6 linked regions of the Sus scrofa genome follow. The protein of the gene in region 3 interacts with the protein of the main gene of each other region in a pairwise test. Links are inferred from orthologs where the notes say so. Each region holds a gene or a part of one and is shown on either strand. Other genes may lie near its edges.

The links.
Region 1: the proteins of AP1M1 (region 3) and ZBTB8A interact in binary tests that used the Homo sapiens proteins (3 or more experiments, as listed by UniProt). The two-hybrid records come from large-scale screens. The link is inferred for Sus scrofa from reciprocal best matches to the Homo sapiens genes AP1M1 and ZBTB8A.
Region 2: the proteins of AP1M1 (region 3) and MTF1 interact in binary tests that used the Homo sapiens proteins (3 or more experiments, as listed by UniProt). The two-hybrid records come from large-scale screens. The link is inferred for Sus scrofa from reciprocal best matches to the Homo sapiens genes AP1M1 and MTF1.
Region 4: the proteins of AP1M1 (region 3) and AP2B1 interact in binary tests that used the Homo sapiens proteins (3 or more experiments, as listed by UniProt). The link is inferred for Sus scrofa from reciprocal best matches to the Homo sapiens genes AP1M1 and AP2B1.
Region 5: the proteins of AP1M1 (region 3) and AP1B1 interact in a two-hybrid assay, tested with the Homo sapiens proteins (2 studies listed by BioGRID, with this or other methods). The link is inferred for Sus scrofa from reciprocal best matches to the Homo sapiens genes AP1M1 and AP1B1.
Region 6: the proteins of AP1M1 (region 3) and RUNDC3A interact in binary tests that used the Homo sapiens proteins (3 or more experiments, as listed by UniProt). The two-hybrid records come from large-scale screens. The link is inferred for Sus scrofa from reciprocal best matches to the Homo sapiens genes AP1M1 and RUNDC3A.

The regions. Positions count from the first base shown.
Region 1 is NC_010448.4:88,952,500-88,957,787, reverse strand, and holds part of ZBTB8A (zinc finger and BTB domain-containing protein 8A), read right to left. Parts: coding exon 4,547-5,288; intron 1,636-4,546; coding exon 1,466-1,635; intron 1-1,465. UniProt on the Homo sapiens protein: May be involved in transcriptional regulation.
Region 2 is NC_010448.4:93,838,555-93,842,671, forward strand, and holds the end of MTF1 (metal regulatory transcription factor 1), read right to left. Parts: intron 3,523-4,117; coding exon 3,459-3,522; intron 2,306-3,458; coding exon 1,875-2,305; 3' UTR 1,543-1,874; downstream 1-1,542. UniProt on the Homo sapiens protein: Zinc-dependent transcriptional regulator of cellular adaption to conditions of exposure to heavy metals. Binds to metal responsive elements (MRE) in promoters and activates the transcription of metallothionein genes like metallothionein-2/MT2A.
Region 3 is NC_010444.4:61,360,896-61,366,183, reverse strand, and holds part of AP1M1 (AP-1 complex subunit mu-1), read left to right. Parts: intron 1-415; coding exon 416-558; intron 559-1,027; coding exon 1,028-1,099; intron 1,100-1,695; coding exon 1,696-1,854; intron 1,855-5,288. UniProt on the Homo sapiens protein: Subunit of clathrin-associated adaptor protein complex 1 that plays a role in protein sorting in the trans-Golgi network (TGN) and endosomes.
Region 4 is NC_010454.4:39,901,837-39,907,124, forward strand, and holds part of AP2B1 (AP-2 complex subunit beta), read right to left. Parts: coding exon 5,259-5,288; intron 3,325-5,258; coding exon 3,079-3,324; intron 1-3,078. UniProt on the Homo sapiens protein: Component of the adaptor protein complex 2 (AP-2). Adaptor protein complexes function in protein transport via transport vesicles in different membrane traffic pathways.
Region 5 is NC_010456.5:46,491,620-46,496,907, forward strand, and holds part of AP1B1 (AP-1 complex subunit beta-1), read right to left. Parts: coding exon 5,282-5,288; intron 3,605-5,281; coding exon 3,469-3,604; intron 2,766-3,468; coding exon 2,520-2,765; intron 484-2,519; coding exon 293-483; intron 1-292. UniProt on the Homo sapiens protein: Subunit of clathrin-associated adaptor protein complex 1 that plays a role in protein sorting in the late-Golgi/trans-Golgi network (TGN) and/or endosomes.
Region 6 is NC_010454.4:18,918,823-18,924,041, forward strand, and holds the end of RUNDC3A (RUN domain-containing protein 3A), read right to left. Parts: intron 5,087-5,219; coding exon 4,997-5,086; intron 4,889-4,996; coding exon 4,808-4,888; intron 4,630-4,807; coding exon 4,464-4,629; intron 4,355-4,463; coding exon 4,197-4,354; intron 3,514-4,196; coding exon 3,376-3,513; intron 3,268-3,375; coding exon 3,161-3,267; intron 2,738-3,160; coding exon of another isoform or gene 2,718-2,737; exon of another isoform or gene 2,127-2,717; coding exon 1,984-2,126; 3' UTR 1,543-1,983; downstream 1-1,542. Other genes in the region: SLC25A39 (solute carrier family 25 member 39), read left to right, coding at 111-192, 267-347, 470-585. UniProt on the Homo sapiens protein: May act as an effector of RAP2A in neuronal cells.

The sequences.
Region 1 (5,288 bases), on a different chromosome or scaffold from region 3:
ATGTATATGACTACCACTCAGTACAGTTATTATCTTCTGCTTAACCACTGATGTATCAATGAGTAAATGTTGAAAGTACATAATTTGAGTGTATCTTTATTTCTCCAGAGATAGTATCTGTATTATGGTTATGATATGTGGCATTGTTTTGTTACATTTTTTTTTTTTTAACAAATTTTTTTTTTTTTTTTTTGTTTTGTCTTTATTTGTTTTGTTGCTATTTCTGGCCTCCCTAGATTCCAATAATCAGCTGTACCACCCCACCACCACACGCATCCAGCCGCACCCCCACCCCCACCCCCCCCCCCCCCCCCCCCCACCACCCCACGAAACCTGTACAATTCTGACACAGATTCATACAGATTCCAATACAGTTACGAAGACAAAGAAATCAAGTGAAATACTATAAAATAGAAAATATGATCATGAATTCATTATTTTAAAAATATATATCTTCTAGCTCAGAAATAATCTGAAAAGAATGATGCCTTATAACAATGAGCACCCTAGGTGTCTAAATTTTGTTTTCTAATTTCATTCCCCACTACAAGGTACCAAAGCTTCTTTGAGAAATAACTGATTCCTTTTTTTTTTTTTGGCAGGGGATGTTCAAGGTGAGCCTTGGGCTCTTTTGGAGCCAGAGAACAAGGATACTTTGAAAATTTAACAGAGTTGTGACAAAAGGACACAAGAGCCAGCTTTGAGTGTCCCACTGCACACATGAAAATCTGAGTATCAAAAAGAATAATAATTGTTATGGATCCAAATATGATGAACCAATGAAAATTCATGAGATCACCTGCTATTTTAAAAAAAAAAAAAAAAAGCAGAAAAAACTCATATCATTTGAGACTACTATTTTTTTTTCTTTTTTGGCCACACCTGCAGCATATGGAAGTTCCCAAGCCAGGGATGGAATCTGAGCCATATCTGTCACCTACAACACAGCCGCAGCCTACACCATAGCCACAGCAATGAGGCATCTGAGCAGTGTCTGCAACCTACATCTCACAGCAGTGCCATATCCTTAACCCACTCAGCAAGACCAGGGATTGAATGGCATCCTTATGCCATTAGGTTCGTTACCGTTGAGCCACAACAGGAACTCCCAGAAATGGTGATTTTGACCTAGACATTTAAAACATTTTTAAAGTTTACATTGTTGTTGGCTCATTTTATATCCTGAAAAGACCAGGATATAAAACACATTAGATTTCAAGTCAATTAAAATGGATATTCAAAAGACTATTTCTTACTTTAAGGTTTCAAAAGGAGAATAAAAATCTATTTTTAAAAAATATATGAATTTATGCATTATATGTAAAGTAAAAACATTAAATGGGAACAAAATTTTAATATGGTAGAGTTTTATGAAAAGATTTCCCTCAGTTAATCAGATTATCCTAAAGCTGATAAACGCATGGATTTCCTAAGAAGTAAAATGATGAAAAAATCATATACATACTGTTCGAAAATGGCTACTTAGATGGTCTAGCCGGCTAAATCTTTTCCCACAAGCTTGACAGGGGTAAGGCCTTTCTCCTGTGTGACAACGAAGGTGCCGCTTGAGGTCTGCCTTCCGCTTCACCACATGTGTGCAATACGGGCACTTGAACCTCATCCTGGGCAGGTCATCTGTCAGGAGACAGTTTGATTAAGTCACCAGAAGGTTCATAATCAAAATTCTAATAACTTCAAGAATCCAAAAGGGGCTGGTGAGTCCAATCTCAGAAAGATAAGCGAAAGGAAAAAGGAAGAAATTTTATAAAGACTAGATTGTCAAAGGTGATAATCCTATTACGGAATCATAACCTCAGGAGATATTTACAAAGTCTGGACAGATTTTGTCTTTTTTTTTTTTTTTTTTTGCTTTTTAGGGCTGCACCTGTGGCATATGGAAGTTCCCAGGCTATGGGTCGAATTGGAGCTACAGCCACAGCCACAACCCATAGCAATGTGATATCCGAGCCGCATCTGCAACCTACCTCACAGCTCATGGTAACGCCGGATCCTTAACTCACCAAGCAAGGCCAGGGATGAACCCATGTCCTCGTGGATACTAGGATACTAGCTAGGTTCGTTACTGCTAAGCCACGATGGGAACTCCAAGAGTCCCTAGATGTTAAATGTCAAGAGGTAGTACTGGATTTTAAAGATTCTAAGTACCTTGTTTTATTAATTTACTTATTAAATAATTATTTATTTATGCATTTATCCCCCTGCCTTTACTTTTCATACAGTTGTGCTACTTTTCTTGTAAAATGAAAAAGTTTCTAGGATCTTTAATTTTTTGTTTTAAAACTCATACATATTCAAAATGTTAGTTGTGATTGGAGGCAAATCTCATCAATTTAATAGCTGGTCATTACTGAAGATTTAAATAACCCAGAATTATAACAGTTCAGAGCCCAAGAAAGGATAACATTTTTGCTGCTTTAAAACACAACAGGAGTTCCCGCTGTGGTACAGTGGGTTAAGGATCTGACTGCAGCACCTTGGGTTGCTGCAGTCCTGGGTTCCATCCCCAGCCTGGTGCAGTGGGTTAAGGATCCAGTGCTGCCACAGTTGTGGCTTGGATTCAGTCCCTGGCCCAGGAACTTCCATATGCCAAGAGTGCAGACAATCAAAACAAAACAAAACAAAAATGAAAAATAAAATGCAACAAAGATTTTCCATTTTTGCTCTGTTATTTGTCTTCCTTGGCCCATTATAGAGCTCAGCAGGATTTTCAGTAAGCTCTACAATATGATACAATTTCATGTATTTTCATATTATATCCTACAGGAAGATATGGTTAGTAAAAATCAGTCAGGTTGCCTATTATTTTTAAATATGTTACCTATACAACCAAATTTTTGTCTAAAATTTATATGACGACCAGGGAAATGTAAATATTGATTGGCTTTAATGATATTAAAGATTTGCTAATTTTGTTCAGGTACAATAATAATGGTATTGTAGGGGGTTTGTTTGGTTTGGTTTGGGTGTTTTTTTGCTTTTTTGTTTATTTATTTATTTATTTGTCTTTTTGCTATTTCTAGGGCCGCTCCCGCGGCACATGGAGGTTCCCAGGCAAGGGGTCCAATCAGAGCTATAGCCACCAGCCTACACCAGAGTCACAGCAACGCGGGATCTGAGCTGCATCTGCAACCTATACCACAGCTCATGGCAACACTGGATCCCCAACCCAGTGAGCAAGGCCAGGGATCAAACCTGCAACCTCATGGTTCCACTCATGTTAACCACTGAGCCACTATGGGAACTCCTTTTTTTGCTTTTTTAGAGCTGTACTTGTGGCATCTGGAAGTTCCCAGGCTAGGGGCTGAATCAGAGCTACAGCTGCTGGCCTACACCACAGCCACAGCAACGTGGGATATAAGCCACGTCTGTGACCTACACCACAGCTCACGGCAACAGCATATCCTTAACCCACTGAGCGAGGCCAGGGATGGAACCTGCATCCTCATGGATCCTAGTCAGGTTCGTTAACCAATGATCTGTGAAGGGAACTCCTGCAGGTTCTTTTTTTGTTTTTTTGTTTTTTTGTCTTTTCTAGGGCCACATCCGCGGCATATGGAGGTTCCCAGGCTAGGGGTCAAATCGGAGCTGCAGCCACCGGCCTACACCAGAGCCACAGCAACATCAGATCCAAGCCGAGTCTGCAACCTACACCACAGCTTCATGGCAACGCTGGATCCTTAACTCACTGAGCAACGCCAGGGATCGAACCCACAACCTCATGGTTCCTAGTTGTATTCGTTAACCACTGAGCCATGACGGGAACTCTCTGCAGGTTTTTTTAAAACTACATTTTAGGGACATATTCTGAAATATTTAAGATAAAATATGATGTCTTAGGTTTGCTTAAAAATGGGAGGTGTTGGGGCAGAGGCACAGATTAAATAAGACTGGTCATGAGTAGGACTGGGTAATGGGTACATGGGGGTTAATTATACTATCCTCTCTTAATATATGTTTGGAATTTTTCTAAAATTACAAAATACAAGTAAAGGAGTTCCTGTTGTGGTGCAGCGGGCTAAGGATCCAGCCTTGCTAGAGCTGTGGTGTTAGGCTGCAGCTCAGATTCGATCCCTGGCCCAGGAACTTCCATATGCTGTAGGGGCAGCCAAAAAAAGGAAAAACAACAACAACAACAACAAAACTCCTCCCTACTGAATTCAGAAAAAACAAAAAACAAAAAAAAAACCCACAACTATTTCAAATGAAAATATGTGTCTTAAGGACTGAACCATTTAAGGAAAGAGCTTTAAACACTTAACAGTAATCTAATCACCCGCAGATGTAGGTTTGGAAAATCGTGGGTTTCCACCCTCAGCACGCTATTCTTTTGACCTCCTTAAATTCATCCAATATTACTTTTAATTAAAGAAATTAACTTAACATTTAATGAATAGATTTCATTCATTAAAAAAAGAATCACTTGGTCCAACTGCCCATAACACCTAAAGGTGTTATGTTGAAATAGGATTGATTTACAGAGGAGTCTTGGAACCTGATTGAGGGGATGGAGTCTCTTTGTGGGTACCTGGAAAACTTCTTGATGTGACATCAGCTCCTTGACCGTACTGATAGCCAACAGGAGTAGAGTCCATTTCCACATCCATCTGTGCCTGTTCTTCAGACTGGGAAATGTGGCTGGAAGAATCAGATGTTCGAGCTTCTCGTTTGCTTGACTTATACTGAGTTGTTTCAGAAGGCTGTGACAACCTCAAATGTTTGGACTTTTTCATGGACTCTTTCCTTTGTTCATGCTTGGCCAGAGGCTGCTGAGTATTCCTTTGGGGGGCTGGATGGTAATTATACTTACTCCAAGATTTCCCACTTATTATACCCGTCCCTTGATCGGGGCTCAGGTGAGAGCGTGGAGAACTGCTTTCATCTTGCCAACCACCGCTATAAAAAGAGGAACGTTCTATACCATTAGAACTGGCATCTTTATCGGAGAGGCTGAAATAGCGATCTTTTTCTTTTTCGCTGATGTCGAGCGAAGATTTAATAAAGGTCTTACAAACGCTGATGACATCAGTCATCTGAAGGAAGCTAGCAGCTGACATCACTTCTATGACATTCTGACCCGTGAGAGAGAGCCTACCAGAGTAGACGAAGTCCAGGATGACGGTAAAAGTGTCGGGAGAGAAAGCCTGAAACGTCGCGGTGGTCGGCTGACTTGTTTCCTTGGAAGTCTGCGAAAGAAGCATTTTAAAGTAGCCGCTACTAGCAAATAATACATTCCGATGGGCTTTGAAGACTTTTCCTTCAACCAGAAT
Region 2 (4,117 bases), on a different chromosome or scaffold from region 3:
CTCATGGCAGTGACATTTACCACCATCGCCCTCTTGTCTGAATCTGTCCCTGAAATCCTGTTAAAGGCAGGGCCTCTGGCTCCCAGGAAAATGATCTATGCTAGATACTGTCTTGGCTGGCCCTGAGTAATGGCTCAGAGGACAGGAGAGTGACAAATGCAGATCTCTTTACCTTAGAGAGAAGGAAAGGAAGGCGAAATTACGGCTGCTTTCTGCCCGACATCACTGACTCAGAAGGGCAGGCCTGTGAGAACACTTTTCCTCACTTGAGGCAGGGAGGGGGCCCTTGGGAGGCAGAGGCCATGCCTAGTTTCTGAGCTCAGTACACATGGTGAGCACTCCTGACTACATTAACACAGCCAGTTGAGAGAAACTTTCCATTTTAGTGTGGATTGTATTTTATGTTTTATTTTAAGAGGCAATAACTGGGAGCCAAAGGCAGACAGATGGATATAATTCTATACACAAATCATCAAAAAAAAATTTTTTTTCCTATAACACAACTTAATGAAACATTCCAAATGAGATAACTTATTGCAACATTTCAGGCTTTTTGGTGGAAGGGGAATTTTTTTTTTATTTTACCCTGAGTAGAAGATCATTGCTTTTTTTTTGTTTGTTTTTGTTTTTTTTTTTCCTTTTTTTGTTTAGAAATCATATGACTAAGCTGAGCAAGTCACATCCTTCTTTGCACTGTACTAGGCTGTATGCAAAATCCAGAGGGGTCAGGGGTGGAGATGGGAGGGGACAACCAAAAGCCTGGCTGGAACCCCAAACCAGGCCACCCGCCTGCCGAGGGCATGCCGCCTGAACAAAACTCCTGGAAAGCCGCACATTCTCCTGATGAGCAAAATGCAGCTCTTCTGCTCTGAGGAAGAAGATACCATTCAGAAAAGGCAGACCGCCGACCAGCAACTGGCCACAAACTGCCCGTCCACTCCAGGACAAAGCAGGGATGTTCCCCAAGAAAAACTCACTGTGATCTGCAAGCCCTGGCAACCAAGAGAGAGAGAGAAAGAGAGAGAGAGAGAGAGAGAGAGAGAGAGAGAGGGAGAGGGAGAGAGAGAGAGAGAGGAGAGAGAGAGAGAGAGAGAGAGAATATGCCGGGAAGGCAAAGACTGATCAAGTTCCTACAGCCTGCTCTGCACAGGCACCAGTCAGCGACAGGAGCTATCAACGACTTGCCTAGGGCCCTGATGGAAGCAGGCTGTCCCCTAGGCCTCAGGCCAGCCTTTTAGCTGCCTGTTTGTGCCGTAGCTGGCTGCAGGATGACACCTGCCACAGTCGCCCTGAGCTCCACCACACCAAGCACAGACAACAAAACCAGCTCACCCGATCCCTGTCCAGCTCACAGCTGTCTGACCTGGCTTTGCCACTTCCTTCTCTGACGGAGCGAGGGTCTGGCCTTCCAAGCAAGCTTCGGCCTCAGACTCAAAAGACGCATGGGGAGGAGCAACACCCGACACGCCGAACTCTACTGCCCAGACCACAAAGACCCCAGTGCAAGTGATGGGCAGCATCAGATTGATGGAAACCACACCCTTTCATTTAGAATTTTTATGCATACGAGTAACCTTAATTTCCAAGTTCACATGACAATAAGCAAAAGTGACATACAGTGCAGCCAAACAGTTCATTTATAACTTAGCTTTTTTTTTGTTTTGTTTTTTTTGTTTGTTTTTTTGTTTTTTCCAAAGATCAGTTCCTTAAAAATGGATGCTCCTGACATATGAATAAAGAAAACAGGTCTGAAAGGTGAGGATTTCAAACAGTAGATTTCTTCATCCTTCAAACTGCTGACCCCATGAGGACAGGCACCGCACCTCTGCTTCCTGCTTGGCCTCTGTTCCTGGAGGGGAGCACATTCGGGCCTTTCACTTGGAGAAGCTGCTGGTCAGGCCCATCTCCTCCTCTTCCTGCAGTAGTGCTTCAATGGGAATCAGGTTGGATGGGGTGTCCAGGCTCTGGAGAGACAGAAACTCGGACATATCCATGGCACGTAACGTTTCTGTCGGAGGGTCTGAAGGAGTCACTGCTTGTCTGCTTTGCTCACAGGAGGAGGATGCAGCGGAGGATGACGACAGGGGGATCGGGGGTGGGGAAAAAGTCTGTGGTGGTAGCTTCAGGCCTGGCCCATCAGGAGGCTGGGCGCTCAGCTCTGGAGGGGGCGGGGAAGAACAGCCCTTCCGCCTGCTGGCCGCCCGCTCCTTGGCAGAGTCCCGGCACGCACACTGACACTGACAGGCCTCCTCTTGTTTGATGATGATCACAGGAACACTGAGGCCAATCTGCTGTACAGCACTGCCTGTGAGAGAGGCGAGAGAGACTGCTCTTCAAGTAGCCGCAGGGCAAGGGCAAGAGGGACAGGAGGGTGTAAGACTAGGTGAGAGCTGAGCACCATGGAGGCAGGAAGATGGGAAGGGTGGATGTCATGCTCCAGGCTTTGTTCCTCCTCGAGTGAGAAGCCTCTGACACTCCCCATCCCCTCTGAGGCAGAGAAGCCACACACCATCTAGATGCACCCTGTATTTCCAGCTTCATTTCTGGCCACCCTCCATGCCAGCCACGGCGGACACCTCCCTTTTCCCGACACTCTCCGCATAGCTCTTGGCTGAGAGGCTCTTCCTTCTGCCTAAAGTCTTCTGGAGAACTTAGCTCTGAACACCCAGCTCACTCCTCTCCTCTCCTGACACCTCCACCTCCAGGCAGTGTTTCCAGCGGGCTTACACCTGAGGGCCAGCCCGAGGGCAGAGCTCTGCCGCACTGCACCTGACCCTGGCCCCTGCCTGCCCAAGAGGCTCTGACCTCCTTCAGGACACCCTGCTCAGCTGTGCAGCCCGGCTCTCTGATACAAGCCAGCCTTGTATGCACACACATTCCCCCTCTTTTGTGTGTGTGTGCGGTGCACAGGCACACTCTGAATTCGGATAGGCTTTGCATGTCTCAGAAGAGCTCGAGACCAGGGGTAGGAGAACAGAATGGGCATCAGGAGGCCTGAGGCTCTGCCACAGACTCACGTATGACTCTCGGGGAGTCATTTCATCGTTTCGGGGCCTAGTTGCTTTAATCTATAAAAAGCTTGAGAAAAAGGACCTTTTAGCTCTCTAAGATCTCAGACGCTATTTCTTCATTACTGTAATTAGAAAAAGAGTCCAATGAGTTAACAACTGCTCTCTTTGGCATGAACTGTGATTCAAACTTTTTCTGGCTATGTTAAAGGCTGTATCTGAAAGGGAAAGAACCGTTACTAGTTAAAGAAGTTAAAGGTAGTGTTTATGCCGTAAGTGCAGTAGCTTTCAACAGTTGTGAGAATATGAAATACTCTAGTGAAAAAAATACAATGTGATCAATTTAATTTAAAATTTTTTAAAAACTGGGGCAAAGCAATAATTAACTAACTGTGCCTCAAGGGGCCCAGAGAATTGACTTCCTTTTAAAGCTAACACAGAATTACATACCTGTGCTACTGGCTACTGGTACAGCAGTGGTAAAAAACACCTTCTCAACTTTAGATGCTTGCTGCTGGAAAAAAAAAAAAAAAAATCACATTTATGGCCACTCAAATATGGCAGATCTCCAAGGACCTGAAGCCTCCCCAATTGTAATGGTCATCCAAGAGGACAGAAGCCCTCAGTGTTCAGGGATTTTTGCACTGAGTGATGTTTTGTTTGCGCTCGGACATGAGGTCACGGCACTGTTTGACATTCAGTCCTGACAATGTAGCAGGCTTTGTCCCCTACTCCTTGGCTGTCTCCCAGCTGCCTAATCCAGTAGGTTCTGTGCACCCAAAACCTCCTTCAGGATTGCTTTTCTCAAGCAGATGGTCTTCTCAGGGCTAGCTTCCCCCCTAAGCTCTCCACTCCCCACCGTGCCCCAATACTACTAGGAGACTGGGAAGTACTTTTTTCCTCAAGGACTAAGCTGCATTCGCAGAGCTGGCTGAGTCCCTCTCACAGGCAGAAGACCTCCTGTGAAGGCCCTGGGCAGTGTGTTGGAAGCTGCACAGGGCGAGTGCTCCAGGGTGGGCCCTGGACTTAGCTACACCTGGATTCAAGTCCAAGCTCAGCCACTTATTAGTGGTTGAGGTCAGGCAAGTAACGGAACCTCTGGGAGTCTC
Region 3 (5,288 bases):
CTGGGCCCGACCTACACAGCCTCTCTGGGCTGGGAAACCAAGACAGGGCCCAGATCTCAAGAGATGACCAGTCCAGGGCCCTCAGGGAGCCCTGAGTCATCACCACCTACCCCCAGGGGGTGTCTGTTTGTCATTCAGCAAACATATTCCAGGCAGCAACCCTGCCTGGGGACTCATTGTAAGCCAGGCCTACCGGGCCTGCCCTCATCCCACTGTTGGGACATAATGGGACCTCCAATGTGATGAGGAGAGATGGAGGGATGGCTGTCTCAGAAGCCGGTTCCCCCTTGGTATTCAGGGCCCAAGATACTCTCACTGATTTGAGGGGCAGCTCTGCTCTGTCAGGGGTGGGCCCCAGGCAGTGGGAGCATTGCTGAGAGTGGCCTGTCAGGCCCTCACTCCTACCTCCCTTCAGGCGGCAAAAGCAAGTCCGTGGAGCTGGAGGATGTGAAGTTCCACCAGTGCGTACGGCTCTCACGCTTTGAGAATGACCGCACCATCTCCTTCATCCCACCCGATGGCGAATTCGAGCTCATGTCTTACCGCCTCAACACCCACGTGAGTGCTTCCACCCCTGCTCCTCCCTGAGGGCAGCCTCTCCTGTCTGCTTGGCTGGGTGGGAACTATCCCCATCCAGGGTGAGTCTCACTGCGAGGTGATGCCCAGGATGAACACAGCTCCCCACAGGCAGCCTGGACTCCTAGGAGCCTGATTGACAAGGCAAGGTTCCGACGTTCTGAGGGGTCAGGCCCCTTTGCTCTGCTCTGTTTCCAGGCAGCCCCAGCAGAACATCTCTGGTGATGTTTTCTGCATTTTCACCAAGGCTTGGCAGCTGCTGGATGCCTTATTCTCTATGCTCTGACCCATCCTGGCACCAGCTCTGGATTCCTCCAAGCACCCCGGGCAGCAGTGCCCCAGGCTCACACCTGGCCAAGTGGTCCCTTGCCCTGGGGCTCAGTTTCCCCTCTGTGAAGCGGGGCTTTGTAAAATCACCAGGTCTGAGTACCGTCTTCACTCTCCCCAACAGGTCAAGCCCTTGATCTGGATTGAGTCTGTGATTGAAAAGCATTCCCACAGCCGCATTGAATACATGATCAAGGTATGTGTGTGTCCTGCATGCAGCATCAGCTGGGAGTGCAGGGTTGTTGAGGGGGGTATGGGCGGCCCCTCCTGGTACAGGCCTTTGGCCTTTGGCACAGGCCCTAACCCAGGACTGGGGGCATACCGGGGCTCTGTGACCCCTGCCCCCAGGTGTCAGGCCTGTGGCTGTCATCTGTGCTGCCCCTCTCTGACCTCACACAGAGAGCAGGTCTGGGGCAGGGAGGGGTCACACCACCCAGATCCTAGGTGCGGCCACCATGGCAGTGGCCTGTGACCAAGCATCTAGGTGTGCCATCTTGCCACTCAGTGATCTCATCAAGCCCAGGCAAGCCATGGTGACACAGACATTGTCCCAGGAGGCCAGGGCTGGGCCAGAGGAAGGGATGAGGAGTCCCAAAGGCCAAGGGGACAGGAAGGCAGAGACCGAACTTCTGAAGTTGAGCTTAAGGAAGATCTCAAGGGGTGGCGTGAGGGTCAGCTCCGTGTCAGAGTTGGGCATCCCACAGGTCAGGCCAAGGGACATGTGGCCCTCGAGGGAGTAGGCAGTCGGGGGAGCTGGACTGTCTCACCTTCACCCTCCACCCTCATCTCCAGGCAAAGAGCCAATTCAAGCGACGGTCAACAGCCAACAACGTGGAAATCCACATACCCGTGCCCAACGATGCCGACTCACCCAAGTTCAAGACAACAGTGGGAAGCGTCAAGTGGGTCCCCGAGAACAGTGAGATCGTGTGGTCCATCAAGTCCTTCCCGGTGAGCACCTTTCTCAGTGGGGCGCCCCCTCCAGCCTTCCACCCACACTCACCTGCTCCCTGTGCCCAGCACAGCATGGCAACCTGACTGTTGGGGAGCCTTGCAGCTCTAACGGCACAGGGCAGGATCCCCACCTGGGGCTTTAGGAAGGTTCAGGAGGGAGAGTGGATGGAGTGCTGAAAGGAGAGCAGGCAGAGGCAGGGGGTGGCGCTGGCTCCAGGCCACCCCACCTTCCTCTTGTTTGTGAACCGGCCTATCCTCAGCATCAGGGCAGTGCCCAGCCCTCCCTCCTCCTTTCCCTCTGGCACTGCTGTTCAGTGCTCAGCTCCCCTCCAGGGGAACAGACTGCTCTGGGGCCAGACCACATGGTTTAGGAAATCCAGCACCAGCTCCAGACACAGAGAGCACCTCCTGCCTGGGCCAGCTCCACATGCTGGCATGGCCCATTGGCTTGTATTCAATCTGAGCACTTGAGCCTGGGTTTGTGGGAAGAGTGCCTGGGGAGACAGGAAGGAGAGAATGGAAGACAAGTGTGAGGCCATCACACCAGGCCATCACTGTTACGGTGATAAACATGCTGGAACACCATTTTTATGTTTCAGAGCGCTGTTTGCGTTTCTCTGGAAACTGTAGTAGCTGTCTCTGGCTCACTTTTTTGTCCCGTTTGGTCGTTTTCTTCTTGGTTTCCAAAAGCTCTTTATACATGGGCAAGATTAGTACCTTTTCTTTGACATGACTTGGAAATAGTTTTCCTCAGTTTGCTGATGGCTTTTTTTTTTTTTCCTCCCCATGGCCACACCCACGGTATATGGAAGTTCTTGGGCCAGAGATTGAATCCAAGCTGCAACTGTGACCTACCCCACAGCTGTAGCAATGCTAGAACCTTAACCCAGCAACCTGAGCCACTGCAGGTACAACACTGGGTTCTTAATCTGCTGTGCCATAGCAGGAACTCCCTCAGTGTCTTTAAAGGTACTTTAATTTAACTGTAACATGCAGAATAGTAACATATGATATGTGATCAAGAATTTTCTCCAAGAGAATACATCTGTGTATCTGGTGCCAGATAAAAGCCACCAAACACTCTTTATCCCCAGGACACCCCAAGGATCTCTTCTGCTTTTGCACATTTCTCATTAAGATGATTTTTAAATCAATGTTTTAGTAAATGGAGCCTCCTTTTCCATTATATCTTCCAGTATAGGTTGCCAGCATTCATATGGTAATTTTATATCCTGGTATCCTACTAAATTTCTTATTTGCTGTAGCTTTTCTTTCAACTTTCATAATTATTCTTTCATATCGTTCACAGCCAGGTGCAGTTTCCCCTTTTCCTCTTCTATTCTTGGGCATCTTGTGGCTTCTGGCATCTCACTGCTGGGGTTGCCATCTCCAGCACCTGTAAGTGGCTGTGGAGAGAGCAGCCTCCTGGCTTTGCCTCAAATGGAGCTGCCAGGTTTCCCTTCCAAGTATATTGATGCTGCAACTCACTCCAATCCTACTTTACTGTGTTTGTAGCACAAATGGGCAATGAATTTAGCCAAATGCCTCTTCATTGTCTATTCATTCAGATATATTAATGGGATAGATCTTGAACTATCCATGCATTCTGGCGAGCTTCATGGTATATTTTCTTTCTTTTTTTTTATTACTCAAATGAATTTAGCACATCTGTAGTTGTATAATGATCATAACAATCTGATTTCACAGGATTTCCATCCCACAGCCCAAGCACATCCCCCCACCCCCCAAACTGTCTCCTCCAGAGACCATAAGTTTTTCAATGTCTGTGAGTCAGTATCTGTTCTGCAAAGAAGTTCCATCTGTCCTTTTTTCAGATTCCACATGTCAGTGAAAGCATTTGATGTTGGTGTCTCATTGTATGGCTGACTTCACTTAGCATGATAGTTTCTAGGTCCATCCATGTTGCAAAATAAGCTGGTATTTCATTCTTTTTAATGGCTGAGTAATATTCCATTGTGCATATGTACCACATCTTCTGGATCCACTCCTCTGTCGATGGACATTTAGGTTGTTTCCATGTTTGGGCTATTGTAAATAGTGCTGCAATGAACATTGGAGTACATGTGTCTTTGCGAGTAGTGGTTTTTTCTGGGTAGATGCCCAGGAGTGGGATTGCTGGATCAAATGGTAGTTCTGTGTTTAGTTTTCTGAGGAATCTCCATACTGCTTTCCACAGTGGTTGCACCAATTTACAATCCCACCAACAGTGTACTAGTGTTCCTTTTTCTCCACACCCTCTCCAGGACTTATTGTTTGTAGACTTTTGGATGATGGCCATTCTGGCTGGTGTAAGGTGGTACCTCGGAGTGGTTTTGATTTGTATCTCTCTAATCATGAGTGATGTTGAACATCTTTTCATGTGTTTCTTGGCCATCTGTATGTCTTCTTTGGAGAACTGTCTGTTTAGATCTTCTGCCCATTTTTGGATGGGGTTGTTTGTTTTTTTTGGTATGGAGCTGCAGAAGGTGTTTATAAATTTTGGGGATGAATCCCTTGTCAGCTGATTCACTTGCAAAGATTTTCTCCCATTCTGTGGATTGTCTTTTTGTGTTGTTTAGGGTTTCCTTTGTTGTGCAGAAACTTTGAAGTTTTATTAGGTCCCATTTGTTTATTTTTGTTTTTGTCATTAATACTCTGAGAGGTGGATCTGAGAATATGTTGCTGTCATTTATGTCAGAGAGTGTTAGGCCTGTGTTTTCCTCTAAGAGTTTTATAGTGCTGGTCTTATATCTAGGTCTTTAATCCATTTTGAGTTTGTTTTTGTGTATGGTGTTAGGGAGTGTTCAAATCTCATTCTTTTCCATGTGGCTGTCCAGTTTTCCTAGCACCACTTATTGAACAAGCTGTCCTTTCTCCATTGTATATTCTTGCCTCATTTGTCATAGATTAGTTGGATGTAGGTGTGTGGCTTTAATTCTGGGCTTTCTATCCTGTTCCACTGATTATATTTTCTTTTTAATGTCCCATTCATTCTGTTGGTTAACATTGTTTGCAGGATTTTTACGTTGGATTTCATAACTGAGATTTTTTTTTTTTTGGTACAGTCTCTATCAGGTATCAGTGTTATACCCATTTCATAATTTTTTTGTCTCCATTTTCCATGCTGCAGAACAGTTTAAGTAACCTTGAGATTGTCTGGCCTTGAGAGGATCGATAGAAGTCAGCTGTTTGACCATCTATATTTCTGCTACTTTCTCTGCCTCTTCTGTGGAAATTAAGCCATTTAGAGTTCCTATTTCTGTTGGAGTCATATTGTATAAATTGTATTTTCCTACAAAATTATTCATCCTAACCAGTTTTTCACATTCATCTACACAGAATTGTATAAGGTGGTCTTTTATTTTTTTCCCTTCTGACATTTACTTCTCCCTCGTTGTTTCCCATTTTGTGTATTTGTGCCTTCTTTTTTC
Region 4 (5,288 bases), on a different chromosome or scaffold from region 3:
GTACATGAGATCTGCTCATCTGGATGCCCAAAACTTAGGAAGTGAAGCCCAAATATTTTCCATCTTCTCATTTGTTCTCAGAAAATTTCAGACATTTGCTCAAAATAACAGTGAATCAAAATCAATGGCAAAAACACAACTTAGTAGCAGCTAAATTTTCTAAAAATAGATATTACTGCCTTATAAAATTGTTTCTTTACAGACTTTTTTTTTTTTTTGTCTTTTTAGGGCCACATCCACAGCACACGGAAGTTCCCAGGCCAGGGGTCAAATTGGAACTGTAGCTACTGGCCTAAACCACAGCCACTGCAATGCCAGACTCGAGCAGTGTCTGCAACCTATACCACAGCTCATGGCAATGCCAGATTCTTAACCCACTGAGTGAGGCCAGGGATCAACCAGAGTCCTCATGATACTAGTCTGATACTAGTCGGGTTTGTTATCGCTAAGCCACAAGGGGAACTCCTCTTTATGTAATTCTAAAAAGGTGACACAGCGCTGCTTGAGGGAAAAAGATAGGGTTGAATCTTCTAATACTGGTGGTAATTACACCCTGTTAAAAGTCACGGTTTATGCGCATACACACCGGTATTGCCTCTGTGCCTAGCAAGTAGCTATAGGATTTCTAATGGTAGGTAGTACCACAGCAACTTTAAAAAACTATAGCTTGCTTCATCCTTTGACCTAGACACCAAATTTGAAAGATAATAAATAGAAGCCAAGGCTACCCAAAGAGTAAGATGAACCATCTGAGCAGGTTATTTTGCAAGTGAAACCCAAGGCCTACATCATGGCAAATTCCAATTCTCTAATTCAAAAAGTTCAACAGTGAAATATTCCCAGGCTACCCACTGAATAGCTCAATGTTATTCACCTCCAAGAGAAGTATGCATTAGGAAAAAGGGGAGAGACAGGGACTCAATTCCTCCATCTTCTCAGTAATGATACTTAATGACCAATCACTCAATTCAAATGATCTTCAGTTACTAGCAGAGCCAACGTACCACTTTGAGACTTGCTCCATTCACTATACAGCCAAATTCTAAATGTCAATAGGAGAAATAAAAAGGTCCCAAACATTAAGGATTAGGTTCTGACTGCCAAACATTCACAAAATAATCAGGTTGGCTATAAAAAATTGTCCTAGGAGTTCCCACTGTGGCTCAGTGGTAATGAATCCAACAAGTATCCATGAAGCTGCATGTTCAATCCCTGGCCCCCACTCATTGGGTTAAGGATCTGGCATTGTGTGGTGTAGGTTGCAGACACAGCTCAGATCTCGCATTGCTGTAGCTGCAGTGTAGGCTGTCAGCTACAGCTCCGATTTGACCCCTAGCCTGGGAACTTCCATATACCCTGGACGTGGCCCCCACCAAAAAAAAAAAAAAAAAAAAAAAAAAAAAAAAAAAAAAAAGAGAATTGTCCTAGTACTCTGTAGAAGAATGGACTACAATAATTAAGCAATAAAGATAACTTTTATTCAGTTGTATTCCCACACCACCAGAAAAGACCACAAATATCCATCTGAAGAAATCTTTTTAAAAACTGATATAAACTTAAGGTAAAACTTCTTTAAGACAGTAATGAAAGAAATTTGTTTCTGAACAAATAGAGAAGTAAGTATGATACAAAGATTTGCTATAAGACCCTTATATTTTAGGAGTTCCCGCTGTGGCACACAGGACCGGCAGTGTCCTGGGATGCAGCTTCAATCTCTGGCTCCGCACAGTGGGTTAACAATCTGCTGTTGCCACAGCTGCAGCATAGGATCAGATCTGATCCCTGGCCGGGAACTCGATATGCTGCAGGACTGCCAAAAAAGAAAAAAGAAAAAAAAAAAGACCCTTCACCCCAGTGTTCATAGTAGCACTACTTATCACCAAGACAGGGAAATAACCGAAATGGCCATTAAAGATGAGTGGTTTAAGATGTGATGTGAAAACACACACACACAGGAATAGTACTCAGTCAAAAAAAGAAATGAAATATTGCCATTTGCTGCAGCATGGATGGACCTGGAGAATATCATATTAAGTGAAAAAAAAGACAAATATACCACTTACATGTGGAATCTGAAAAATAATACAAATGATCCTATATATAAAACAGAAGCAGACTCAGACATAAAAAACAAACCCAGGGTTACTAAAGGGGGAGGGGGAGAGGGATAAATTAGAGAAGTATGGGATTGATAGATAGAAACTACTATACATAAAACAGATAAGCAGGATGGATTTACTGCATAATACAGAAAACAGTATTCAATATTTTGTAAATATCTATAATGGAAAATAATCTGAAAAAATATATACTTATAAAACAATTACTTTCCTGTAAACTAACAATATTGTAAACAACTATACTTCAATTAAAAAAAAAAAACAAAACCTATATTTTCATGCTTGGATTTCCGCTCAGAAACATGTAGGGTGTTAGACTGTGGGACACACATAAGTCATGCTTCACAGGGCTAGCCTATGACAAGACGTACTTTAAACATTCTTTTTTTTTTTTTTTAATTTTTTTCCATTTTTGGCCATACCCACAGTATATGGAAGTTCCCAGGCCAGGGATCGAATCCAAGCTGCATTTGAGGCTTACGCCACTGCTGCAACAATGCCAGATCCTTAATCTGCCGCAGCAGACCAGGGACTGGACCAGCAACCACTGTGCCACAGCAAGCCAGATCATTAAACCACTGTGCCACAGCAGGAATTCCTAAACATCCTTTTCAATGATGGACATTTTATTTTATTCTTTCATTTATTTATTTGGTTGTATTCACAGCTTTTGGAAGTTCCGAGGCCAAGGATCCTACCCAAGCCACGGCAGTAACAATGCTGCATCCTTAACTGATAGGCCCACCAGAGAACTCCTAAACATATTTTTCAAAGGGACCCATTCTGGACTTCTCTGGTAGCCTGGTGGGTTAAAAATCTGGCATCGTCACCAGGAACTTCCACACGCCTTGGCCAAAAAAACCCCAACAAACAACGCCCGCACCCCCGCCCCCCCCACACACACAAATAAAGGGACTCATTTTAAATACCACTCTCTTATAAAAGCAGAAACTATTACCATTGGATTTGAATCTGCTATGAGGTCCCGCAGAGAATCCAGAAATCCCTGATCTTCAACCATCTGGGCATTGATGTCATGGAGTTTTGCCACACAGACTGCTGCTGTCTTCCGAACATAGGGATCTTCATCCTTTAAGCACTTGCGGAGGGGTTCACAGAGATATTCCGTAATCTTGTCCACCCGGATACACCCCATGGTTCTGACTGCCAAGGCCCGAATCAGAGGATTGGGATCTTCACAGTCCTAAAAAAACAATCACTGACAACTATAGGTGTACAGGGTGACTAAAAATAAACAGTCAGATGTACGTAAGCCACAACAGAATATTCATTTAATGTAGGTTTCCAGTTACATTCCACATCAGAACTCACATCTCTTAGACCATTCCCTTCCAAGGTACAGTCTTAGTTGCCTACCTAAGAGTTTAGGTTAGGAATTCATTTAACTTTTATATACACAATGAAGAAGTGTCCTGTAGGTTTCATTTCAGAGCTGAGCAGAAAGCTTAGCTGATGCTACCACCCCCAGAGCCATTAGTGGACCTGTCCTATAAATAGAAAAGGTCTTAGGGCTTGTATTCTGGTACAGGAAAAAATTAGAAACTGGAAAGATGTGTCCCACTCAACAAATACCAAGTAGGGAGAAAGAGGACTGGTTACCTGGGGCCTACAGCCACGAAAGCAAAAGAGATATAGAAGGTGATTTGGGTTCCTTGAGTGAAGCAGAAGAGAGGGCCCTCTGAGACCCTGATTACATACATTCTCCTCTCCTAGCATCTGTGTCAAATATGAATAGAATACTTATCATGAAGGAACAACCCTTAAACTGTCCTACATTAAGAAATTTCTTTAAACATTATAAACCTGTGAACATGCTAACTTCCAAAAAATGGACACCAAATTCTTTCTGGTACTATCATCCACCTGTGCATCACCAGAAAGAAATGTTAGGTTGGTTCTGCTTTTTAAGGAGGAAAGCATGCTGTTTATTTTTCAAAACAGTTTAGTACAAGCTCATTTTAGAAATGATGTCTGATTTTTGCTTTTAATGCAAACTGAATTCCAAACAGAGGAAAAAAACAATAAATAAAAAAACTAAAAACTGGAGTTTCCACTGTGGTATAGTCAGTTAAGAACCTGACTGCAGCGGCTTGAGTCACTGCAGAGGAGCAGTTTGATCCCTGACCTGGCGCAGTAGGTTAAAGGATCTGGTGTCGCAAGCTATGCCACAGCTGTGGCTTGGATTCAATCCCTGGGCTGGGAATTTCCATGTACTGCGGATGTGGCCAAAAAAAAAAAAAAAAAAAAACTAATACGAACAACCTCATTATTATGTTTATCAAATCTAATGATAGGACAAATTTGACTCTTGATATCTAATAATACTAAGAAATTTACTTTCTTCTTCTTCTTTTTTGGCCACACAACAGCAGCAACAAAACCCACTGCAGTGAAAATGCCGTATCTTTAACCCTGCTATGTTGCAAAAGAATTCCAAGGAATTTCTTACTGGTCAGGTTTTAAAGATGTGACAATGGTACTATAGTTACATATGTTTGGGATTTACTGTAAAAGTAACCAGTAGGAAAGGAGGGGAGTCAGGGAAGCATGTATGGAGAGTATAAGTTAAATAAGGCTGGTCACAGGCAGGTGACTATTGAAACTACAAGACTGATACTTAGCAATTTATTATTCTATTCCCTCTACCTGAAGATGCTTGAAAATTTCCATAATGACAAAAAAGTTCATCAACTGTTCTAAGACCTACTGAATAAAACAAAATTAAATAGCAGTTCCTGCAGTTTCCATTTCTTCTGACCCATAAGCATAGTTCTACTGAGATAAAATAGGTAAAGCCCCAAGATACTGATACTACAAAGACATGCTCAACCTTTGTTAGCCTTGGAAGGCAAAGCAGTGAGGTTTCACCTGGTTTTCTTCTCCCATCTGGCAAAAATGCACCGAGCCCTGCTGACAGAAGGCTCACCATATGGTTTGAACTGGATGACAAACGCTGGCACACAGAATGCTTAAAACACGAACATTCCTACTCATTGCCAGTACTTCTCTAGAGGCTCTCTTTTGGAACAGAGGTTGCTTATTTGCAATGCAGACACTTACTATATCAAGAGACATTTCTGAAAAGACACTGCTCTTGAATCCCTGGGAAAGAGTTACCTTCACAAAGCTGTTGACAGCCATGATGGC
Region 5 (5,288 bases), on a different chromosome or scaffold from region 3:
TTAAAGGTTATCTAATGCACAGGAAGCACCCAGTGACAATTCAAGGGATGGTGGCCTGAGGCTGTCCACCTCCTTACTCAGCCCGAGGTGACCAAGGTCTCTGGCTTCTGTTCTGTGCCCACAGTGAGCGACGGCCTGAAGCACCACCACTGTCAGCCTGGCTCTGTGTCTGAGGATGGTCTGTGGGGCAAGGCCCTGGAAAGAGGCCCACCAGAGGCCTGGAGCCCAGCTCATGGCTGCAGCCCCTTAGGGCCAAGCCCGGCGGGGCTGTAAACAAGGGGCAGCCTCTCACCTCTGGGCCTCTCGGTCATCCTTGGGAGTGTAGTTGGCCAGGCAGTCCAGAATGAAGATCTGGCCCCACTCAGTGCACTCATTCAGGGCTGTCAGCAGCTTGTTAATGGACTGCGGGTTCAGGTCAAGCAGGTTGCTGCTGGGGTGAGACTCAGCAATCTCGGAGAGGGCCGCCACTGCATTTGCTACCACCTGGTTGAGAGGGTGGAGGGGTTAGAGGCTGGGGTGCGGTCTGCAGGCCAGGGCAGTAGTGGGGCTAATGATGTGGACCAGACAGAGCTCAAATATCCTGGAAGACCCTATAGGCAGGGTCTGGATCTCCGAGACTCACTTCAAGCTCATGCTACGATTGATTCCTCTGTAAGCTGAAACTAAAAGTGCACCTGCCATTAAAGAAAAACACAAGATAAGAAAGCTCTAGTCCCAAACCTGGCCAGAGAAAGCACTCCTGCTACCTAACAGCAGTACCAGTCTACCAGCTCCAACAGCTCTCTGTAGGGGTTGACACCTGTGCTTCTCAGAGCTAGAAGGTTCCTGCAGAGCCACTCAAGGCTGCTAGGAACAGATCTGGGCTGGAGCACAGAAGGGTTGCCTTGTGAAGCTCTGGGTGTGCAACCCATTTCCACCAGAGCAGCTGGTTTTACATGTGTACTGTGTGGTGTTCAACCTTCCTTGAACCAAGCAGAGCTCCAGTGGCCATCTCTGTACTGGCCACTTGGCTCCTGTGTGTGACTGGTTTTAGTGTTACACAGAATGGGACAGCTGGGCCAGGCAGGTTGTACATTGCCTTTTTTTTAATCTTTTTATAGCTGCACCTGCAGCATATGAAAGTTCCCAGGCTAAGGGTCGAATCAGAGCTGTATCTGGGGCCTATGCCACAGCAACTTCGGATCTGAGACCCATCTGTGACCTATGCTGTAGCTCATGGCAATGCCAGGTCCTTAAGCCACTGAATGAGGCCAGGATCAAACCCATATCCTCATGGATACTAATCAGATTAGTTTCCTCTACTCCACAAAGGGAACTCCACATTTCATTTTATTTAAAAAAATTTTTTAATCTTTTTGTCTTTTTAGGGCCACAGCCGCTGCATATGGAGGTTCCCAGGCTAGGGGTCGAATCAAAGCTGTAGCTGCTGGCATACGCCACAACCATAGAAACGCCAGATCCAAGCTGAGTCTGCGACCAATACCACAGCTCACAGAAATGCTAGATCCTTAACCCACCGAGTGAGGTCAGGGATCGAACCCGCATCCTCATGGATCCTGGTCGGCTTTGTTAACCACTAAGGCACTGACGGGAACTCCCACATTTCATTTTAAATATGGCCCTACTGAATTGCCCACCAAACCGAGGAGACCAGGTCCCCTCCCAACGCATCCTGGTGCCTTTTCTCCGGTTACACTACTTCAAGGGTAACCATCTCTAACTCTGCAAAGAGTGGGGAAAGGGAGAAGCACCTCCCATTCACAGCTCATTGATGGTCTTGGTGAGAGGACGGTGATAACAACAGTGACTAGGAGTTTCCGTCATGGCTCAGGGAACCATGTGGTTGTGGTTAATGAATCTGACTAGGAACCATGAGGGTGTGGATTTGATCCCTGGCCTCACTCAGTGGGTTAAGGATCCAGCATTGCAGTGAGCTGTGGTGTACGTTGCAGACGTGGCTCGGATCCTGCGTTGCTGTGGCTCTGGCGTGGGCCAGCGGCTACAGTTCCGATTAGACCCTAGCCTGGGAAACTATATGCCACGGGAGTGGCCCAAGAAATGACAAAAAGACCAAAAAAACAAACAAACAAAACAAAACAAAACAAACCCCAAAAAAACCAACAACAGTGACTAGAAGGGGAAGGAGGGCACTAGTCGTAGATGCATATCCACTGTGTGCCAGGCTATGCTAGGCACGATACCTTCATAGATAAAGCCTCATACACTCCTGGTAACCATGCAGAAATAGATTCATCTTACTGATGAAGAAAAGAGGGCTCTGGAAGGTTAGGCAGCTTGCTCAAGGTCGCAAAGCTTGTTAGAGAGAGCCGTGCAGACAAGAGCATCTAGGTCTAGCTCACTCCAAAGATGGTGCCCAAACCACTGCAGGCAGGAGAACAGCTGGCCCACCCCGCAGGGCTCTTTCCAGGAACTGAAGCTGCCTGGTGGAGGGTCAAGCCAAGGCCTTCCAAGGAACCCTGGAGGAGGTAGAGGTGACACTGTGGGTGGCAGTGACTTACCATGGGGTTAGAATCAGAGATGAGGTCTTTAAGAGTGTCTAGGAAGCCCTGGTCCTCTACCAGCTGGGCGTTGATGTCGTGAAGCTTGGCCACGCACACAGCTGCTGTCTTACGCACATAGGGGTCCTCATCCTTTAGGCACTTCCGGAGTGGCTCACACAGATACTCTGTGATCTTGTCGACACGGATGCACCCCATGGTCCGCACAGCCAGAGCCCGGATCAGAGGGTTGGGGTCCTCACAGTCCTAAGGGGAATCAGCCATTGGCCGAGGTGAGCAACATCATACAGCTACCATGGGATCTCCCACCAATTGTGGCCAACAACATCAAAAGCAAGGGCCATATATGGGCATCTAACACCTGCCAGATGCTAGGCTTTGCACTATCCTCCTTGATCCTCATAGCAGACACAGAATACAGTTCCTATTTTACAGGTGAGGGAGCTGAGGCTCTCAGCAAGGTCGGGAGCTCACCCAGTCACACAGCAGAGCCATGACCCATCCTGCATCTAATATTTCAATTAGGCCCTAGGACTCACCTATCTGGGCATCAATGGGAATTAGGGAGCTAAGGTTATAAAGTGCAGAGCTGACACTGCAAGTCCCTGCTTCTCCCCAATCTGGAGGACAGAAAATGCAGAAAGGAGCAAAGTCTAGAAGGGGAGCACAGCTCTCAGATGCGTGCTGCATCCTGTGCTGGCAAATGACGCAGGGCAGTGGCTCACCCCAGGGAACAGGGGGAACAACAGGCCTGGGGTGACCTCACATGGAGTGAAGTAGCAGGGTCTGTGGCATCTGCTATTCTGAAGAGAGCTGGGGCCCTCTGCTGGAGGAAGAGTCCCCAGGATGGGAGCCAGAGGGCCCAGGCCCAGAGCCATAGTGCCCCACCCTAAGAGACCGGGGGGAGCAGTAAGCAGCTACACCCCTCCTCCCACAAGCTCCTGCTCACCTTCACAAAGGTGTTGACGGCCATAATGGCCATGTCTGGCTGACTCTTGGCATAGTTCATCAAGTACAGGTACACTAGCTTCTTCAGCTCCAGGTTGTCCGTCTGCATACAGTTCACCACATCGGGGAAGAGGGCACTGGAAGGTCAAAGCGGTGTCAGTGCAAGGAAGGCCAAAGAAGAGAAAAGAAGATTTTTCAGGCAGTTAATGGAGGGTGCGGAGGGGGGTGAGTGGGAAGGAGGGAAGGAAAAGATAACAGGTCTTCCTAGTAAAAGGCAGGGCAACAGCTTTTACCATGAATATCTACTGGTAGAAAATGAATTCCAAAGGGTGATTTTTTTCCCCCTTTTTTGGCTGCACCAGTTTTCCAGCAGACACCCGATCCCTTTGCTGATCTGTCCTCAGCAGGCTTCTCTGTAGAGCTGCTTCTCCTGTGGTGCTGTCAGGAGGTCCCTTGCTGAGTGTGGCAATGGGATTGGGCACTACAAGTATGAGCAGAGGGATCCTGCTGAGGGACCCAGATGGGGAGCTGCTCCAGGCCAGTGTCCAGGCCTACAAGGCATGGAGCTTGGCACCACAAGGACACCAAGGACAGGGAAGGAAGAAAGCACCCAGGTCTGGATTTCAGATGGGTTGAGCGTGAGTAATGGTTCTGCCATTAACCAAGTGACCATTTGGACAGTCACTGTTTCTGGCTTCTTTGGCCAAAGATCATCCTTACCTACAGTATGGAAATTGTATGGAACTTCCAGGAAAATATATCTAAAAGTGTTCTGCTGACTCTCAAACACTATGTGTTGAGCTGCTGTAAAATCTAGCCCTTGTCCTTGAGGACTTGACAATGTGGTGGGCAGGGAGGCTCAAGCGCACATAAGAAGAGGGCACTCTAGAATTAGGGCCAAGCAATAGGAACACAGCAAATGCTATGTGTTCAGGGCAGTGGGCCAGAGTGATGAAGGAGACAGCTGGGTAAACGCAAAAGGGGAAGGGACGTTCCAGGCTGGGGAGATGCATGAGTAAAGGAGGGGCTGTCATTCTGTATGCGATCTGCTGTGGTAACAGATGCAAACCAGAGGCTGCAAACTGACGACAAATTCAACAAGAAACCTGCAGGTGTGTCTTACTTGCACAGGGTTTGTTTGTTCGGTATCGTGTGACAATCTAAAACAGAGATTTTTAAAATGAAAAATCAAGTTCCCTTTGTGGCTCAGTGGGTTAAGAACCCGACTAGTATCTATGAGGATTCAGGTTCAATCCCTGGCCTCGCTCAGTGGGTTAAGGATCCAGCACTGCCGCAAGCTATAGCATAGGTTACAACTGCGGCTTGGATCTGGCATTGCTGTGGCTGTGGTATAGACCTCAGCTGCAGGTCTGATTCTACCCCTTGCCCGGGAACTTCCATATGCCGTGGGTGCGGCCCTAAAAAGACAACAAAAAACAAAAGAAAGCAAAGAAAAATCCAGGAATTCCCCACTCTTTCTAAAAACCAAAAGACTGGCCCCACTGGGGTCATTTCCACAGCGGGCAGCACCCTCTAGAGTTTGATAGGGTTCACACCACATGCACTGCATTGTCTGGTGCCTTTTCGACCTTGTCCACTTCACTTGCTCCATTACTGCCCAATCCCATCTGCATCTGAGCACATGATCTCTTTGCACACCAAACCTTCTGTTTGGAAAGGAGGTTTGAGAAAGGAGCTAAAGGAAGGGAGATGTGGGTCCTTAGGGACATATTAAAGGAGGGACCTGAGGCTGGGCCCATGCTAGAAAGCCCCCATCACCCACCTCCAGCTGCCACCCAGCCTACTCCACACACCTGACGT
Region 6 (5,219 bases), on a different chromosome or scaffold from region 3:
CCCCTCCCCTGGCGAAGCTCTGGCTGAGGCTGGCGGCCCCCGTCTGTCCAGATACCAGGGGTGGGGGTCCTGGGAATAGAGACGAGCCCCCACCCCACTCCCACCCCCAGGTGGCGGCCATCCTGACTCTACCCTTCGACGTGGTGAAGACTCAACGCCAGGTCGCGCTTGGAGCGGTGGAGGCTGTGAGAGGTGCGGGGCCCTGGCGGGTGTGGGGCAGGGCAGCCGGGCAGCAGGGTCTTACTGGACTGAGCCTTGGTTTGCAGTGACGCCCCCGCGCGCCATCTCCACCTGGCTGCTGCTGCAGAGGATCCGGGCCGAGTCGGGCACCAGGGGGCTCTTTGCAGGTGGGTGTCTCTGAGTGTGTGTGTGTGTGTGTGTGTCTGTCTGTCTGTCTGTGTCCAGGCCCTGGTGGATCTGGGGCCCCCGGGACCTGACCTCTGACCCCGGCCGCTCCCTCCCGCCACAGGCTTCCTCCCGAGGATCGTCAAGGCCGCCCCCTCCTGCGCCATCATGATCAGCACGTATGAGTTCGGCAAAAGCTTCTTCCAGAGGCTCAACCGGGAACAGCCTCTGGGCCCTTGAAAGGAGTGAGGGGACAGGGACCCCATCTCTTCCACGGGTGGGGTGAGGCAGGAGGAGACTGAGCCAAGTGCCTTTTCCTCAGCACTGAGGGGAGGGGCCCCGTTTCTCTTTCCTCTCCGCTCTGAGCCCCAGGCCCCCCACCCCAGACCTCTTCCTGCTGCTCCCCATTCCCCAGCCCCGTGAATCATCTCTCCCCCCCACGTTCAAGACCAAATCTGCTAACTACCCGCACCCCCCATTCCCTGGTGTGTCTGCTGTAGCCGGGCCTGCCCCTGAAAGCCTGCGGGCCTGGCGTGGTCTGCACCCGCCTCTGTTAATTCCTTGAGTCTAAAGATGATAAACTTCTTTCCAGTGCCTGTGACTCTGGGAATGGGGGGTCTGCGGTGGGTGGCCCGGTGGGTGAGGAAGCAGGGCACGGTGAAGGCAGTGTGTACAGAAGAGTCCCAGAAGGGACCGTGATGTCGGCTTTGGCTCTCCGGGTCTTGCCCACGTAGAGGACCCCACACACAACTTGGAGCCGGGTCAGGGTAAGGACCCAGGGTTGAAGGGCTGGTGAGACTTGCCCCAAGGGCACAAACTTTCAGTGACCACCCAGGAGGGAGGGTGGCTTCACAGCCAGGCTTCGGCCTAGTGGAAGGAGCTGGACCTGTAGGCCAGAGCTGACTTGCTCAGGAAGGTGGCAAGGAAACGGGGCCCTGCCTTCGCCATCCTGCCCCCTGGGACGCCCCGCGTCTTCTCTGCCTGGGATGAATGAGTTACTAATTGGATCAGGGCGCAGGGGCCCTTACACGTTCCGGTCCCACGCTGGGCTGACCTGATACTTAGGAAAGCTGCCCACTCCCTGAAATCCTCCTACCACGGGGCACACACGGACTCTGGTCCAGCACGGCCTTGGCCCCGGTGCCAGCCCCTCCACGTTCTGGGCCCTGTCCCAGCCCCCCACAGACAAGGCTGCCCTCAGTCCTCTGGTTTTTATTTGCCTGATGGCCTCAGAGGCTCTCCCCTCCTCCACCTCCTTGGAGACCAAGGACGGAGTGGCTCCACGGTGTACACAGGAACAGACGGGAGAGGCATGAGAGGTGGGGGTGCTGAGGCTGGGCCACCAGCTCCTAAGGAGGGTGGGGAGATGAGCAGAGGAGAGTCCAGTAGGGAGCGAGTCAGGCGTCAAGGTCGGCGGAAGAATAAGCTCCCCGCAGCCTTGGCGCCCCAGCCTCTGGGGCCCAGCCGGCCTCCCTTGGCAGCTCCTGCCTCCTCGGGCAAGAAGTTAAACTGGGCTAGAAGCAAAGGGTGTCTTTCCCCAGACGCTCCTGGAGGGTGGCCTGGATTGGGGGACTGAGGACAGGTGGCAGGCGTCTGTGCCCCTGGCAGGTGCGGCTGGCACCCCCCGGGGGCAACTCCTCAGCTGGGGCTCAGTGCCGGGCTGCCCTCAGGACTGTCGCTCACCAGGCACTCGTTGGATTTGAAGCTCGCCAGCGACTTGCAGCTGGGGATGGAGGCCAGGGAGCCGCAGAGGCCCAGCATGGAGGGCGTGGGGTCCTTCCCTGGGGAGAGAGGGGGGGTGAGGCCGGGCCAACCGGTCTGCGTGTGTGTGAGTTGGGGCGTGCGCAGGTGCAGGCAGTGAAGGGACAGCCCTCAGGTCACCCACCAGGCGGCCTTCCTCATTTCTGGAGCGTTTGCCTTCTGCAACGCACCCTTGCTCAGCACCTGCCCGCGCCATGCACAGAGCTGGGGACACTGTATTGTAATCGTCAGTTGATGTCTCTGTCTCCCCCCTGAGGTTCACCCTCTCTCTTTGTCCATTTATTAAACACACGGTGAGCACTTGTTCCGTTCCAAGCACGGGGGATACAGAGAACGGACGAGACACGGTCCCTGCCCTCACGGAGCTCACAGTCTGGTGGGGAGACAGACACACGGACAATCACAAACACAGTGTGGCGGGCTTCCACATCCATGGCCTGCCTCGTCTCAAAGAGGATCTAGGGTCATCCAGTGCAGTGTAGGTTTTAGAAAGAAAAGACAAGGAGTCCAGGCACCAGGAAAACTAGGGTGGGAAACCAAGGAGAAGCCAGGGGGAGGGCAACACAAAAATGCATGCGTTGAAGTCCTGGACATTCGCTTGAAGGGAGCCACTAATTTGGCTCTGAGCTTCCTGGCAGCCAAAGAAAAGGGGGAAACAACGGTCAGGTGACTGGTTCACAGAGGGCATGAGATAAGAGCAAATTAGGCAAAGAACTCCCCGAGGGTCTGTGAGGAGCCCCTTCACGATGGCTCCATACCAAAAAGCCATCGAGCCCTCACCATGTGCCAACACTGGGGATTATTCTAAGCGGCATCCCCATCTTACGGACGAGAAGGGCTCAGCAAGGTGAAGTCACTGACCAAGCTCACACAACCAGAGGGGGCACAGCCGCCATCGGCACCCGGGTCTACATGACACCCCAAACCAAGCTCCCAATTGCTGTGCTAAGCTCTCGGGAAGGGCCGAGCCAATGAGGGAAGTGGCCAGAGCCTGACTACAGGCCCCGAGGCCTGGCCTCAGCCCTTCCCCGGCGGGTGCTGGGTGCTGGCTCACCGATGGGGCCCCAAGGCTCCTCGTCCCGCTTGCCCTCTCCCAGACGCTGGGAGTCTGAGCTCAGACTGGCTTCTGCTGACAGCGGCTCCGTGCTCATGAAACTGTGTCTGCGGCAAAGCAGAGAGCTAGTATACAGGCAGCGGCCCTCGGACCCGGCGCCCTCTTCCCTGGGAGGGACAGCACTCAGGCCCAGGCTGAGCGTGGCTGGGGCTTACCTCCGGTAGAGCTTGGGGTTGTTAGTGCCTTCGGCCCCGTTGAGTGTCCCCAGTGATGGCCACTGGTTGACCAGGCGTGCAGTGAGGTCCTTGGAACCCTGGGCCAGGGGAGCGTGGTCACCGGGGATCAGACCTGTCCTGGGATGGGGAGGGGGGGTCAGGCCTGGCCAGGAAGGGGCTCAGCAAGAGGTGGGAGAGGAGTTAGGATTGAAACCTGGGTAGCAGAAACGGGTATGAATGTTCATCAGTGGGGCAGATCCTGGGGGTCAGAAGGATGATGGGAATTAGTGTCCGGGGTTAGGGGAATAGCAGGATGTGGACGGAGTCAGGGGATGGGCCTTGGTGCCGAATAGTGTGGGAATCATGAAGAGTTAGGGGATGTTGGGGGTTATGCTGGGAGGAGCGGTTAAAGGGATGGATAGGGGTGAGGTCAGGGGTCACCATGGCTGATGATGATGGGCCTACACTGCAGGTCAGAGGGGTGTTGAACAGAGGGGAAAGGGCAACCCTGTTGAAGGCTGAGGAACAGAGGTCCTTATGAGCTATGTTGGGGTCCTTGGTAGTGTCAAGAGTCCCAGAAGTAATGGCCATTCTAGCTGGTGGCAGATAATTGAAGGTGAAGTGGGGAAGCTGGTTTTGGGGGGGGGGTCCTCGTGTTGATAACGTTAGGTCGCGCGAGGGTGGGGATCTGTGGATGAAGGTGACAGGCTGTTGGTATCGGGAAAGGTGACGTTAGAGTCAGCGGGGGCGATGGTGGGGTTCCCTGGGGTGATGTGTTGGGGGAGGCGGAGGAACGGGGTCAGGGCGGCGGCGGCGCTCACAGCTGCTCCTGCAGCTCCAGGATCACGCCTTCCAGCTCCCGCTTCTCGCGCTGGTTCTGCGCCGCCGCCTCCTCCAGCTGCAGCTGCAGCCGCCGGTTCTCCGCCTCCAGGTCTTTCAGCTGCGACTCGCGCAGACGCACCAGCTCCTCCAGGTAGCCCTGCGGGGCGCCGGCTCAGCCAGGGTGGCAGGAGGAAAGGGGGGGTCCCCGCGGCCGCCCCAGCCGCCCCGCCCTCCTCAGGGCTCCCCTCCCCTCCCCCACCGCGCACCTTCTGCGCGTAGACAATGCGGAACTTCTGTTCCATCTTATGCCACTTGCTGTACCAGCTGTCCTCGTCGGTGACGAGCGGCAGGTAAGGGTGCTCGGGTGAGTTGTCCTCACTCGTGCTGCTCTCGGCGCTGTGCCGCTCCTCCTCGTCCGTCAGGTAGTCGTAGCTTGGGGAAGGGAGCAGTGGGCACTTGCCGGCCCTGCCCGCTGGCGTGCCCCACGCCAGCCCGCTTGGGCGGGGGCACCAAGATTCTCCCTGCCGCCGGCCTCCCCCCGCCATCCCCGCCCCTTAGGGCGGTCTTCTGACCGCACCCACCAACCACCGGCAACAATCAGGCTGCTCACCTCTGGGTGAACTTCAGGTAGGGCGTGTAGTCGATGACCACGGGGGTCTTCCCGTCCAGCACTTCGCCCTTTAGGCAGAAGCTGGGGGCAGAGGAGCCACAGGATGGCAGGCGGGTATGAGGGGACGGGAGTGTGGACTTTCTCGGAGAAACATCCCCATCGCCATGGCCACCGCCACGCAGCCCCCACCTGAAATCTATGGCGCTCAGGCCGATCAGCATCCCGGTGAGGACCGTGGCTTCCTCCCGCAGCATGATGGCTCCCGAGTCATAGAAACGTCTGTAGGGAGGGGGGAAGGGGCCGATGGTGGAGCACCTCCCACGAAGCCTCAAGGCTTCTCTTGGCTCATTACAGACTCTCCTAGAGGAAGGAGGTATCTCTTTCCTGTTCACTCAGCTGAGGATTTGTCTCC